Caenorhabditis elegans: one gene and its partner. The protein of the gene in region 1 interacts with the protein of each later gene in a pairwise test. Each region holds a gene or a part of one and is shown in the gene's direction. Other genes may lie near its edges.

Region 1 (7,617 bases):
TCACTCCGCCCCGACGATGAAGAATTCTTAGAGAATGATCCTTTCACTGCATGTGGTTAGTGTTGCAATATTTTTATTTTCGTTTATAAATCTAAATGTATTTTAACAGGTGGCCTCATCAAATCCATCACGATCACAATGAACACAAAGATCCGCGCTCAAGTCTTCCTGAACATCTGCCGGAATTTGCGTGATCAACTCGGAGGCTCCCTTCATGGTTTTGGAAGACTCCTGGAAACGATAACGCACAATTGGAAGTTCTCTGAACGTCGTATAATGGTAAAAGCTGCAATCATGATCGACGCTGATCTCCGTCCTTCGATTATCAAGGTTCTTACTGCTAAACCGGGCCAGTTGATAGGTCTCGAGATGAAAGTTCGTTCCGGGTTGACCCAACTCTTCCTCAACTTGAGTCAAGACATCGATGAAGCTTCTCCACAGGAGATTATCGAGTTTGGCTCCTGGTTGTCTGTTCTGATCCGAAACGTAATTGAAAAATATCAGGGAAAGTTCTATTACATCCTATTCGGACCAACAAGATCTTCAAGAATTGGCGAACGCGTCGACTGGGCGTATTTCTGTGAGGACGATTCAGATACCTTCACTTTGCGGAAGAGTGAGCCAAACTATAGGAAATTGCTGTCAACGTTGCTCAATGGAATCCGCGCTCTTCGCATCATGAATAATTCCAAGAGTTCGGACCAAATGTGGAGCGGGAAGAAACTTTATCAGCTTTTCCTCCGGATCATTGGTAATATTTTTTTTTTTAATATTTTTAATTTTTAATAGCTTTTTAATTTTCAGAAGTTTGCGAAGTACAAGGCTTTTGGTCTGAGACCTCATCTTCTATGGCGCTGGCCATTGATTCTTCAGGATTGCTCAGCGAATATCTTGTCACCTGTCTCGATCCTCGCCGCGACGACTATGAAACTCTCCAGAATGAAGCCGCGGAGATGGTGTGTCTCGTACGCAACCATCTTTATCGTTGGTCGGCTGCACCTGCCACGTTTCTCGCCGAACCACTGCACCACGCATTCAATCATCTTGCGCAACTCGATGGTCATTACGGTGAGCGGCGTTCTGTCATCTTTTCGGTGCGAGAAATAACGAATATTATTATTATTACAGACGGTTGCTACAAAGCTTTTCTCGAAAAGATTTGGAACGTTCAAAGTTCACGGTTGAAGGAAATGGTAAAGAACGCGACAAACACAACCGAGTGTTCTGAAAAGATCCGCGAAGAGCTCGACGGTCAGCTCTCAATGGCTCGCCTGTTGACGGATATATCAAACACAGTGGTTCTTCACCAAATAGGCTTCCAGCTTCCAAATGACCTAGCTGCTGAACTCGTCAATGATCCACTAGAAGAAGAGGAGCAGCTGGAATAAATCATGTTTTATCTGTCTAGAAAATTTTGAAAATAGCTTCCAACTGTAGAATTAGTTTTGTTTTTGTTTTCTTTTACTTTTACTTTCACTTTAATTTTAATTTTAATTGTTCAAATTTAAAGCTCCTTTCACTCCTTGTTCCATCTTTCTCATTCTGATAAAATCAGCGAAAACTAATTCACTTTATTGTTTACTACAGGGTTCAGCCCCCTGCCACCATTATTTGCCGGCCACTGGCCTTGAAAAACCTCTTCCATCATCGATTTTCACTCTTAAGAGAGTACTCTTCATTGTTTCGAAAGGTTTTCGTTTAAGCAAAAATGGATCCGGAATTGTTAAGGCAGCGAACTGCTTTCCAGAAGCATGCTGCAACAACGATGGCTGTTCAGAATAAGCCTGTGAGAACTTTAAAAATTAAAAAAATATTGAATTTATCGATTTTTTAAGACAACAGCACCAAATTCACACACAACATACTCTTCAGAAGCAGCAAAAGCGAAAAAGAAGAAAAGCTCTGGACCGGCTCAAAATTTGTCGAAACGTTAGTTGTTAAAATGTAATATTAGTTTCTGAAAACGGAATTTTCAGTCCCAGATTTCAATAATTCCGTGAGCAACGCCAATGCGTTATCAAATGCCACAAATTTCAGTACAATGGCGAAAATTGTGGATTATATGAAGGTATTTATATTTTAAAGCGAAATTTTCGAGTTAAAAACAGTTAATTGCAGAAACGCCACCTAAACAATCAACAATGGCCGTTGACACTTCAAGAAATTCTCGATGAACTTCAAATTTTTGATCTTTCAAAAAGAAGTCTTGCTTTCCTTCAAGAAGCATTACCAAACAATCCTCGACTGATAATGGAATCCGAAAAATTCGCATTTCGACCACCTTACAAAATTAAAGGAAAAACTTCGTTGGTAGCTGTCGCGAGGAAACATTATCAGGACGGAAAAGGTGGAATTCTTGTGTCGGATTTGGCTGAGTGTGTGGCTAATTATGATGCACTACTGCAGGTGGGAATTTGAATAATTTATAACAAAAATAAAGTTTTTATTTTTCAAAAATTTCAGCTAAAAATTAGTAAAATTGATTTTAAAATTATCAGCGGCTTATTTTTCGTAGTAATTAAAATTTGAGTTTGTGATGAATTAGATCTTTTAGAATTTCTGAGTATTCAACAATGTGTTTTTTTTTGATTTTCAAATTGAAATAAATTGAAAATTAAATATATAAATTCACAAAAAAGATAAAATGTGTTGAAAATTTATAAAATAAAATTCAGAAATTACTTTATTTTCAGACTTTTGAACAAATTAACGTTATTTTTCAATTTTTACACGAATAATTTTGATCATTTTCGATCCCATAAGTTAAATATTCCACAAAAAAACATTGAAATCGATAAAAAAAAGGTTTGAAAAAATATATTTAATAAAGTAAAAAAAAATTATTACACTTTTCCAGCATAAAACCTTTTTCCTTAAAAAATTTTCAAAGGAAAAACATTTTTGAAGGCAGAATATTCTCATTATAACTTTTCAAAAACTAGGGTATTTAGGGTTAATTTTGATTAAAAATCAGAATTTTTAAATTTGTCAAACTGAAAAAATCAAAGTATAAAAAAGGAGCAATTTTGTGAAATATTAAATTAAATTTTTCCAGCAAGTATCCTCTGAAGTGATCGTTGTTCCGACACAAGTCAATAAGAAAAAGGATCGAGTCGTCTTCTACAATGACAAAGAATTCACATTCCCAGAGCTCGAAGACGATTTCAAAGCCTTGTGGAGACACGTGTCTGTGGATCATTTGGATGAGAAGAAAATCGAAGAATATCTCCAGAAGAAGGGTCTCGACGCGATGAAGGATCTGACGCCGAAGGTTCGAATGCAGGCTCCACTGAAAAGAAAAGCCGCGAAGAGACGGTTCAATCAAAAAGTACAAAACGAGCATATGGACGGAGTTTTGGAGGATTACGAATGATTTTAATTACACACTTCTGTTAACAGTACATAAAATGAACTATGATCATTTGTATCTCTTCTGTCTCTTTTTCTTATCACTGCCCAGCCGTTTGTTTTCTTATTGTTTTCGGCAAATCGGTCACCTAGCCGAGCTTTGTCTCCTACTATTTCTTTTGAAGTTTCAAGTTATTTTTTGAAAAGTTTCTGAATTCAGATGTTTCTGAAAATCTTGCCACGAATCAGAAGACCAACTAGAAGCTACGCAGCAGTTCTTGCCGCCAGACATGAAGGATTTGCAAAAGTGATGCAGTCGGATTTAATGGCATTTGAGAATTTTCTCGGGCAAGATGCAGTGAAGAAGGACGATATTACAAATCATACTACAGATTGGACAGGCCAATTTAAAGGTATTTGTATTTTAAGATTAGGTTTATTTAATATTAAATAGGTACTTTAAATATTAAATGTTTTAATTTCCAGGTCCTGGCAGTGTCGTCCTCTACCCGAAGAGCACCGAAGAGGTTTCTGCAATATTGGCGTATTGCTCCAAGAACAAATTGGCAGTAGTCCCACAAGGAGGGAATACAGGACTCGTTGGTGGATCAATTCCAGTACATGATGAAGTTGTTATATCAATGAATAAAATCAACAAGCAATTCTCTTTCGACGACACAATGGGAATTCTCAAGTGTGATTCTGGTTTTATTCTGGAAGACTTGGACAACAAACTTGCAAAACTCGGATATATGATGCCTTTTGATCTCGGAGCCAAAGGATCCTGTCAGATTGGAGGAAATATTGCCACGTGTGCAGGAGGGATTCGGTTGATTCGATACGGAAGTCTTCACGCACATCTTCTCGGGCTCACGGTGGTTCTTCCCGATGAACATGGAACTGTTCTACATTTGGGATCAAGCATTCGGAAGGACAACACAACTTTGCACACTCCACACCTATTCTTGGGAAGTGAAGGGCAGTTGGGTGTTATCACAAGCGTCACAATGACTGCGGTTCCTAAACCGAAAAGTGTACAAAGTGCGATGCTTGGTAGGTTGAATATTTATATAATGGGTTCAAATTTTTCAATTTCTAATTTTTTTCAGGCATCGAATCCTTCAAAAAATGCTGCGAAGTACTGAAGCTTGCAAAATCCAGCCTCACTGAAATCCTTTCCTCCTTCGAACTTCTCGACGATGCTACGATGGAATGTTTGAAAACGAATCTAGGATTGCACCCAGTACTGAATGCTCCAACCCCATTCTCGATCCTTGTCGAAACATCAGGATCCAATGAAGATCACGATATGGAGAAAATGAGCGCATTTTTGGATGAATGCCTCTCAAAAAATCTGATTATCGACGGAGTGCTCGCTGGATCTTCTGCAGAAGCTACGAAGATGTGGCAATTGAGAGAAAGTGCACCATTGGCGGTTACCAGAGATGGATATGTCTATAAGCATGATGTTTCTTTACCATTGGAAAATTATTATGAATTGACGAATGTGATGAAGGAACGATGTGGTTCTTTGGCTAAAAGAATTGTCACTTATGGACATTTGGGAGATGGAAACACTCATTTAAATATTACATCTGAAAAACACAATGAAGAACTTGAAAAATTGTAAGTTTCGAGATTTTTCTTTTTTATAAAATTTTAATTCTATTAATAATTTCAAATTCCAGGCTCTATCCCTTCCTCTACGAATGGGTTGTCGATCACGGCGGGTCAATTTCAGCTGAACATGGAATCGGTCAACTGAAGCTACCGTACTCCACATTCGGAAAAGATCCTGAAGAACGACTTTTGACAAAGAAGCTCAAGAACATTTTCGACCCAAATGGGATTCTCAATCCGTACAAAACGATATAATTCTAATTCTAATTATTAATAACGCGTGTAACAATACGTTTAGTAGCACAACTGTATAAACATTTGACCCATATATCGTCGGTTCTATTCTCTTTAATTATTTGAGCACCTGTTGAAGGGGAAAATGAATCCTCCAACCCCCAAAGAGCCGGGTCAATTCATCATTCTCCACTAAAATGACGATCCTAATTGTCGCTCTTTTTGCTTCCATTGTAGTATTATGCCACGGAGGTACTGTAGAAACTTCACATCCAGCTTCGGATAAAATTATTGGAAAATATATAGAATTATCAATGAATCTTACGATTCTTCTCGCAGATACTGCTATAGATGAGGCTAAAATTCATCAGGTTTGTGATTTTTTTTTTGAGAGAATTTTTTTAAACCAATGTTCAATTATTCTAGTTATCCAAAGATATGGTGTCAAATGATTACGACGAGGATAAAGTGCAACGAGTTTTGGACAAATTCATGGAAAGTCTTCCGGCAGATCAGAAAAAAGATTTTGGAAGACTTTATTTTGATAAAGTGTTAGTTTTAAGTTTAAGTTTAAAAACAGCAAAAAAAGAGCAGGAGGCTCCAGACCTAGGTGATTTTTCACCCGGTGATAGCGAGTTGTTAGAAGTATCTATCACTGCAGAGAAAAACCACCAAGGTCTCTGGGACCCACTTAAAAATAACTCACCTTGATATCAAATGCACCTGTACCCGCACCTTAGCTGATGTACACCCGGTGATAGGATTTCTGATATCTTATCATCATGGCATACATCCACTGAGGTGCGGACAGGAGGTTCGGAGACACCAGAGCCAAGCTGATTTACACCCGGTGATAATCTCAATGACGAGCTTATTACCAAGACGAAATCAGCTGGGCTCTCGGTATATCAGGAATTCAATAATCAGTAGCTGAATGGTAGAATGTAGGGGAAAACTCCAGAAATCGGAATGAGTCACAGGTCCTACTCCAGTTTTTCTCCCGGTGATAGAGACTTTTGGATGCGTTATCACCACGGAAAAAACCGGAACAGGACCTGGCTCACAGAGAAACCACGAGGACCACTGCAAGTGTTCACCCGGTGATACAGATTAGAGAATGTAGCACCGCAACGGACACCCACACTGGTCCAAGGGTTTCTAGAATCGATTTTAAGATATTTTATCTTTCCGCGTCGGGGACCCATGCGAATTTTCACCCGGTGATAGACACTTTGGATGGTCTAGCACTGAAGCGAAAATTGGCGCGGTTCCCCGACAGCGGTGGAGCAAGTGGAAAAGATCGAGCCACTGCTAGTTTCCACCCGGTGATAGTTCTAATGGAAAGTACCACTGTGGAAGAAACCAGCAATGGCTCGATCTGATCCGAGAATAATAGTTGGGAATGGAAATTAGGAGAGGGGAAGAAGGGAGAAAGTGATGGGAGAAAAGAGAAAATAAAAAAACAACTGATGACTGAATGGACCATTTCCATTCCTTTTATACTGCTGACTTGGTGCACCATTGGGTCTCCGCCCATTTGGTGTAGCGCGTTTGGTGTAGAGCAACGTGTCCACTCGGCGTCTCTTCATTTCACACACTCTCTCGGCTCGTTGCGGTCAAATGGTGTGCAGTGTGCGCTCGCGCGCGCGCGCTCACAGCAACGAACAGACGGACGCGCTCGATAAATGGTGGGCCCGATGGTCAACCGGGCAGGTCTAGGAATCGTAGAAAAGAAAGGGAAGAAAGAGGGGAGAAGAAGAAGGAGAAGGTCTGGGAAACACAGATTAGAGACTGGAGACAGGGGTGAAGGAAATTGGATGCGACGGGATGAACGCTAGGCGCCGGACGGCGGAGTTTTTCGGATTCTCTCGCTTCTTCTCGATGTCTAGAATAGGCGCATGCGGAAAGTAGAAGGCGGACAATCTGTTCCATTTTTTTGGAAGAGAGATAGATAGAAGGAGAAGCGAATAAGATTGAAGACGTGGACGGATGACCTCCCGTGTCGGGAAAAAAACCAGAAATAAAAAAGATGGAGCCAGCCAGCAGTGTAATCCGTTTCAAACGAGTCCGCTTTCATCGTTCCGCCGAAATGAGATTGCACTTGAGTGAGGAGAGAAGTTAATAAAAATAAGAAAAAAAAATTCGATTTTCAACTGTGAATATTCATGAGCACTGCATAACAATGTGCTCCAGCACAGAAACATGACGAATTGATGATTGCTAATAAAAATTTCGATTTGGAGAAACGTTTCTATCGAGAAAACACGTTACAGTAGGAAATTCTGTGCCTGTAAATTTTTATGATTGCGAAAAAGAGGTGTGCGCCTTTAAAGGATTACGGTAATTAAAAATTTTAATTTTCGGTGTTTTTAAAGTTTTTTTTTTTTTCGAAAAAAAAGTAAAAGTGATTAAAAA
Region 2 (6,729 bases), on another chromosome or scaffold:
ATTTTTATCTGTTTTAAAGTTTGATATCAATATAAGTTTTATAAGACTTACAATTTAAAAAAACAATGTCTTTTTTCCATAAAAAACAAATTATTTTTGTGATAATCTGGAAAATGTATACAAATTTCCGGTGGAACTTTCTTTTTATTAAACCTTTTTTTGAGATAGAAATACGGAAACTTACTCGTTCTTGTTGTCGAAGATTAAGAAATCGAGGCCTATAACCCATTTCCAAGAATTCTTTCAAAGTATCCGTTCCACCAACAAGTGCAACTTCCATCATTGCATCATGATAATGATTATTGATAAGATAAACATCTGGCTTCTTGGGTCCTTCCGTCATTAAAATCTCTCGTACAACATCTCTTCCATCTGTTGATGCTGCATAAATAAGTGCCGTATTACAGTTTGGAATCGACGCAACATTCGGATCGGCGCCCAATTCAAGAAGTCGTCGAACAATAGTTTCACTGGAACTTGCAGCCGCTTCCATTAGAGGAGTGATTTTTGATAGTTTATCACCACGAAACTGCATAACTCCAATTTCGTGAGAATACTCAACAAATTGTTCAATCTGAAGGAATAATTATAGTTTGAAATTTCATGAAAAACGTTTCTAAATGACTTACACCAACTCGAGCTGCAAGAAGAAGCATTGCATTTTGCTGAACAATTTGACTATCAATGGAAGGAAGTTGACGAAAATTGATTATCGAATCTTTTTTCTCGTTATTCGAAGGTGTGGAATCGAATACTGAAATTTAATATTATTTCTGTTTATTTTCTTTATTTTTTTTTCCAGAAATTTATCACCGTCCATGTTATCGTCCATTTCAGTCAGTCACATCATAAAGCTAAAACAAACAGTTTTTAAGCATATTTTCTTATTCTGTACTAACACTCAATGTCTATTATAAAATGTTGTTAATGTTGTTTTACTTTTATTTTGTGGATAAGTTCAAAGCGTTACGAGATCCTAAGGCATTTTGAAATCAAAAAATGTTTGAGCATAAAAGCTTGATTTTGTAATATTTGTACGATTTTTGTAATATAGTATGAAATAACGGGCTGTTTTTTTAATCAAAACTTACCACCATTCTCGTCGCTGAGTTGGGTTTCATCGTTGTCTTCAAGCGAATCTTCGTCAAAAACATAAATATCACGAATCGCTGCTTTCATTAATTCTTCGGCGAATGTAGTGGCAAGAAAGCTGAAAAATAATTCTATAATGTTTTTTTTATTTTTTCAGGTTCCTTTTTTCCGTCAATCAATTTATAATTTTCAAAATGTCTAGAAAATTGAGCATGAAATGCGATTTTGTATTCAAAAATAATAACAAAAATTTCATTTTCATAACTTTCGACTGCAACTTTCGACTTTTTCGGAAACTTTGCAAAAAATAACCTATTCCGCAATGTCATTCCAACGTGTTTCATAGAAAATGGAAAAAAATGGCGCTCCTGATTTTCAATTTTTCGGTATATAATTTTTGATATGTACTTTGTATAAGTGCTAATTTATTTAAGGTGAATACTCGAAAAATTCCAATTACTTATTCAATCAAAAATTTCAATTTGAAAACTCACGAGTAAGCCATCGAGGAAACCGAGGTAAGTGCATCGACAGCATTTTTGATTGGAACCTTTTTGGGATCCAAAGGGTTGTACGGTCCAAATCTTTCAGGTTTTTCACTTTTATGATCTTCAAGAAGGTCGGATATTTTAAAAAGGATTTGACAATCATCCATTTGTCGACTCTGAAATTAATAAAAATCGAGACTTTAAACTAATTGAAATATTTACCTCAATTATATCGAGAAGGTTGGAGACCGGGGGAAATCGACACTTGTCCGATGAGAGGAAATGCTCAAAATTGAGAATTTTGAGAACAGTTGAGATGGCTTTTGTCGGAAAATGCTCACAGTCATCGTCTTCGATTTCGATGGCAATTGTGTGAAGGCAATCGTAAAGCTAAAATATAAATTTATTGAAATTTTTTTAGTCGAACAAAAATAGCTCACCCTAGCACCAAAGTGGTAAAAAGATGAAAAAACTCGTTGTCGTTTTTCTTCGTCTGCTCCATCCATATCCATTTCTAATGGAATGAGGTGATTGAACATATTAAGGTGAGCCATTCCACCTTTGGCTAAACTAACACGGTGGTCTCGTCGCTTCTGAAATTTTTAAAATAATTGATATTGGAAAATTCTGAATTTTTAAGCAAAAAGGAAAATACAAAGAAAAATGATTGTTTTAACTGAAACAATAATCTTAATGGTAACTTTTCAAAACAAAAATTTTCTTCCGGAAACCTATGTGGCAGGTGAAGAGGATAACCCATAATTTCAAAATGTTGGAAAACAATTTATTGTGTTTCTTCCATGAAAGTAAGACACAGGCGATGTTCGGAGAAGTTGTAGGCGCGTGACAGACATAATACACGTCTTCTTCCATCTGCCCTTTTCGTTTCACTATCGGAACAACGGCATGGCAACGGGCATGAGGAGGAAAGGAATTAGGGAGGATGTGAGAAGATGAATCGATGGATGATAGTGATAAAGAAGGAACATATTGATTATTGTTCGCAATAACATTCTAGAAAATTTAGAAAATCCTAAAATTAGCATTCAAAAAAATAAATGACTTCGTAGATCCGAAACGCATGTTACTTTTTGAATTAAACATAATGATTTCTTAACAATCGATATAAACAATTTTCTCAAATATATTAAAACTAACTTTATCAAAACTAGAAAAAAATTATGGAGGATAATCCGAATACTCGCGCATAACGCATCCTCCTTTTCCCTAACGAAATCCAGTTACGAGCAATAGAAATGTAAACGAAGTAATATGAAAAATGATTTTGCAAACTTCAAAAATTAAATGAAACTGAAAAATTCAATATTCCTCCCAAAACCATGCAAGAATTGAGTCTTGGAAAGCTGGTTGGCAAATTCGAAAGAAAATAATGGGTTCGTAAAAGCGTCAGCACGAGAATTGCGCCAGCAACTTGTGCTGACGCATTTGCTGTGCGTGCTCCCAAAAAATAAAAAAAAGGTTTTTATGTTTTGTGAATAAAAAAAAGTTCTGTACAGAATTCTGTTTAAATGTTTGTAAAAAACAGAAATCGACAATTCGTGATAAAGAAGAATAGTTTTAAAAATTGTGTTATTTTAATATTAAATTTAATGTCACGTTTCCAATTATTTGGATTTAAGAAAACGTTTTATAAAACCTGAAAATCAAAAAAAAATCATTTCCCAATTGAGTTTTCATACAAACCGATCGAATTATGAAGAAAAATGAAAGCGGCAGCGTAAGACAACTGAAACGATTCAAAATAAACATAAATGAATTAAGTTGGCTCTTGATAAAGATTTCAACATTGACAAGCTTTTGCCAAAGGAATTGATCGACCATTTCATGATTCGAAAGCCAATAGGAGTTCGTGTACACAAGCAGGATTGTCGGGTAATTGTCAAATAGTATTTATTCAAATTCTTGAGCTCTTGATCTTGATTTTGGGACACCATACATAATTCATATTCAGATCACACATGTCCTTCCTGAATCACATCTTATTGGAAAAGCATTTCTAGGTGATTGTATCACTGCAATCGATGAAAAAGTTATCCACACTAGTGACGAGTTGCACCAAAAGTTGAAAGAGAAAACTGAGGTGTTAATATTTCTGAATCGAGTGTTTGCAAACGAAAATTTCAGAATATTCATCTACAACTGAAACGTAACATGTTTTCCTGGTGTTTTCATATTCGAACAACTGTTGAGAAAATCCAAATTGACAGAGATTTAGAGAGAATCACTCCAAATCCTGTTAACCATTACTTTGTGAGACAGCTTTTTAAAAATTAAAAAAAAAACTTTCTTATTTTAGGTTCTCATAAAAGTTCGTCCAACTCCTGAAATGCAATTCATTGACTTGGGATTATTTGTCAAATATAACAATAGAGATCGTTTGGAGGTAATTTAAACTTACAGTAACCACCGCATTTCATTTTCAGGTTGATTATGTTACTCCAAACAGCTTAGCATCCATCCATCTGAAATCTGGAGATGTCATTCGGGAGTGTAATTCTCAGGCAATTTGCTCGAAGAGCATGCTCCGTTATTGTATTGCGAGCAGCATCGCTTCTTCTGGACACTTTACGCTTCTTATTGAAGCACCAATTCGAGATATTCTCAGAGATCACATTGATTTGGCAGATGATGTTGTGGCAATTGCTGATAAGGCGGTAGAGGAGTTCAGAAAATTGGGGAAAGGATATCTACCACAACAACCGAAGAAAGGAGATAAGAAGAAAAACATCAAATTGAAAGAGGGACGTACAGAACATCAGATCGTTAGTGACATTGATCCTGCTAAACTGAGAGCGTGTAAAAATGCTAGCTGAATTTCTCTGATAATAAAGTTTCTACATTAAAATCCTTAAACATTCATAATTAAATATTATACGTTAACAGCAAACAAAATAGTGTAAGAAACAAATATGAGAAAAACTGCGGTTCAAATGGGTTCAAATAAAGCCAGGAACTAAAATGCGAACCGGATATGGATAATTTAAAGATGTAATAGCAATTTATCGTACGAGTTGAAGAGTCTGACCAACAAGAGACGTCACGTCAACTGTTGGATGGACCGCCGATCCATCGACATTCTTCAAGGCAATCTTACCGTTCCAGAGATCAAGAGCAGAGCGAACCTGAAACAAAAACAGATTTAACATTTTAAATTTCTAGGAAAACCCGATAAACATACGTGATATAGAAGATCAGCATATCCCTTCAGGTGTTCTTTTTCTGTTTTCACATGAACTCGAACTTTCTTTGATCCATCAACAACAGTGATCCCATCGAAACTGTCACCTTCGGCGAACAACCAAAGCTGAAAATAATTGTTCAGGAATATTAGAGAACATCAACAAAAACGGAATTTACCTCAACTTCTGAATCCTTAATTGCACTCTTGCTGGTGGCAGTTGGAGCCTTTGCAGCGGCTGGTGGTGATCCCAACTTGATAGGTGTTCCAGTAGCGGATACAATGTCATTCAATTTGGCAGCAACAACCTTTGCGAGTTGAGAATCAGCTGGACTAACAACAATATGAACATGAGCAGTATCAGTAGATACAAGTTTAGCCTGTTTGCGAAGACGTTGAACACGATTTGTCACTTCTCTGCAGAGTCCTTCTTCAATAAGAGACTCATCTTCAGTTGTATCAATCATTACAATGGTCTTTGCATCCGAGTGAGTTTTGTATCCATGTCCTTGATCACTTCCAGCCGCGTAGCTAACAGCAACTTCTTCCGAGGAGAGCTCATGCCCAAGCACAGTCAATTTTCCTTCAAGAAGGAATTTCTCCAACTCAGATTCAGTGATTTGGTTCTTCAAGTAGTCAGCAACCTTCTTTTGTTCTCCCTTGAGACGAGCACCCAGAATTTTGAAGTTTGGCTCTGCCTGTAATTTTAAGTATTATATTTTGAACAAACTTTTTGAAATTTTAATACCTTTAGGGTGATTCCGTATTTCTGTTTATCTTGTGAAACGGTCAATTTTCTGACGTTCAACTCAAGAAGAATATATGATTCCAAACTTTTTACGTCTTCCAAAAACTGACTGTCTCTGTTAATAACAATCATTTCCTTCAATGGATATTTCACAGCAAGTCCTTCACGATCGCGAACAAGACGAACCAAGTCGATAACATTTCTCATAACTTCAACTCGTCTTTCCACAGTCTCGTCGATTAGACTCTCATCCGGTTTTGGGAGCATCAGGAAGTGAACTGATTCCTCAGTCGAACCAATGACTTTCTTCAAATTTAGCCAGATATACTCGCAGAAGAATGGTGTGAAAGGAGCCATCAATCTAACAATCAAAATGAGAACTCGTCCGAGGGCTGCCAAAGCGTGATGTTGCTCATGAAGTCCGTTGTCTCCCTTGACTCTCTTTCTATTTAATCTGATGTAGATATTTGTAAGAGTGTCAAAGAATTTTGTAAGCGGTCCAACAACAGCATAAAGCCGATAACTATCCATTTCTTTCCGAACAAACGCAACAAGACTGTTTGTAAAGGATTCAATCCACCGATCCATGACATTTTCACTGGCAACATGAACGTTCATGTCAAACACATTTCCAGTTTCCTAAAAACGATAATATTTCAATCTCATAATTGTTTCAACATGAATAAACTTACATGTTCATATGCTTGTACGTTTTGTACAAAGAATCTGTAGGCATTAAACCATGGAAGGAACACATCCTTGAGAAGATCTCTTACGCCTTCTTCTCTGAATCTCAAATTTTCTCCTCTAACCACAGGAGAGTTGATGAGATAAAGACGCAAAGCATCGGCTCCGTACTTGTTAACAATGAGCATTGGATCGGGATAGTTCTTCTTACTCTTTGACATTTTTGCTCCATCCGACGCCAATACGAGTCCGTTACAGATCAGGTTCTGGAAAACATTTTTGATTTAAATTAAAATATTGAAATTGTACGAACCTTGAATGGTGGCTTGTTGAACAAAGCAGTTGACAGAACTAGAAGTGTGTAAAACCACCCACGGGTTTGGTCAATTCCTTCAGCGATGAAATCAGCTGGGAAATTGTCTTCGAAGATTTTGCGGTTCTCAAATGGATAATGATTCTGGGCATATGGCATGGATCCTGATTCAAACCAACAATCAAAAACTTCGGAAACCCTC

The links.
Region 2: the proteins of dhgd-1 (region 1) and mpz-5 interact in a two-hybrid assay, tested with the Caenorhabditis elegans proteins (one large-scale study listed by BioGRID).

The regions. Positions count from the first base shown.
Region 1 is NC_003280.10:11,536,582-11,544,198, reverse strand, and holds dhgd-1 (D-2-hydroxyglutarate dehydrogenase, mitochondrial), read left to right. Parts: upstream 1-3,568; coding exon 3,569-3,761; intron 3,762-3,834; coding exon 3,835-4,401; intron 4,402-4,457; coding exon 4,458-4,974; intron 4,975-5,036; coding exon 5,037-5,223; 3' UTR 5,224-5,295; downstream 5,296-7,617. Other genes in the region: F54D5.9 (F-box domain-containing protein), read left to right, coding at 1-55, 110-751, 805-1,068, 1,129-1,388; gtf-2E2 (Transcription initiation factor IIE subunit beta), read left to right, coding at 1,709-1,786, 1,836-1,929, 1,977-2,068, 2,119-2,406, 3,056-3,373; Y62F5A.9 (uncharacterized protein), read left to right, coding at 5,400-5,573, 5,629-5,753.
Region 2 is NC_003282.8:10,370,351-10,377,079, reverse strand, and holds mpz-5 (PDZ domain-containing protein), read left to right. Parts: upstream 1-3,257; 5' UTR 3,258-3,294; coding exon 3,295-3,318; intron 3,319-3,362; coding exon 3,363-3,473; intron 3,474-3,552; coding exon 3,553-3,681; intron 3,682-3,725; coding exon 3,726-3,851; intron 3,852-3,897; coding exon 3,898-3,984; intron 3,985-4,024; coding exon 4,025-4,414; 3' UTR 4,415-4,442; downstream 4,443-6,729. Other genes in the region: Ankyrin repeat and KH domain-containing protein mask-1, read right to left, coding at 185-574, 630-754, 1,092-1,210, 1,587-1,756, 1,803-1,970, 2,021-2,134; iars-1 (Isoleucine--tRNA ligase, cytoplasmic), read right to left, coding at 4,601-4,723, 4,780-4,905, 4,959-5,477, 5,528-6,166, 6,220-6,480, 6,528-6,729.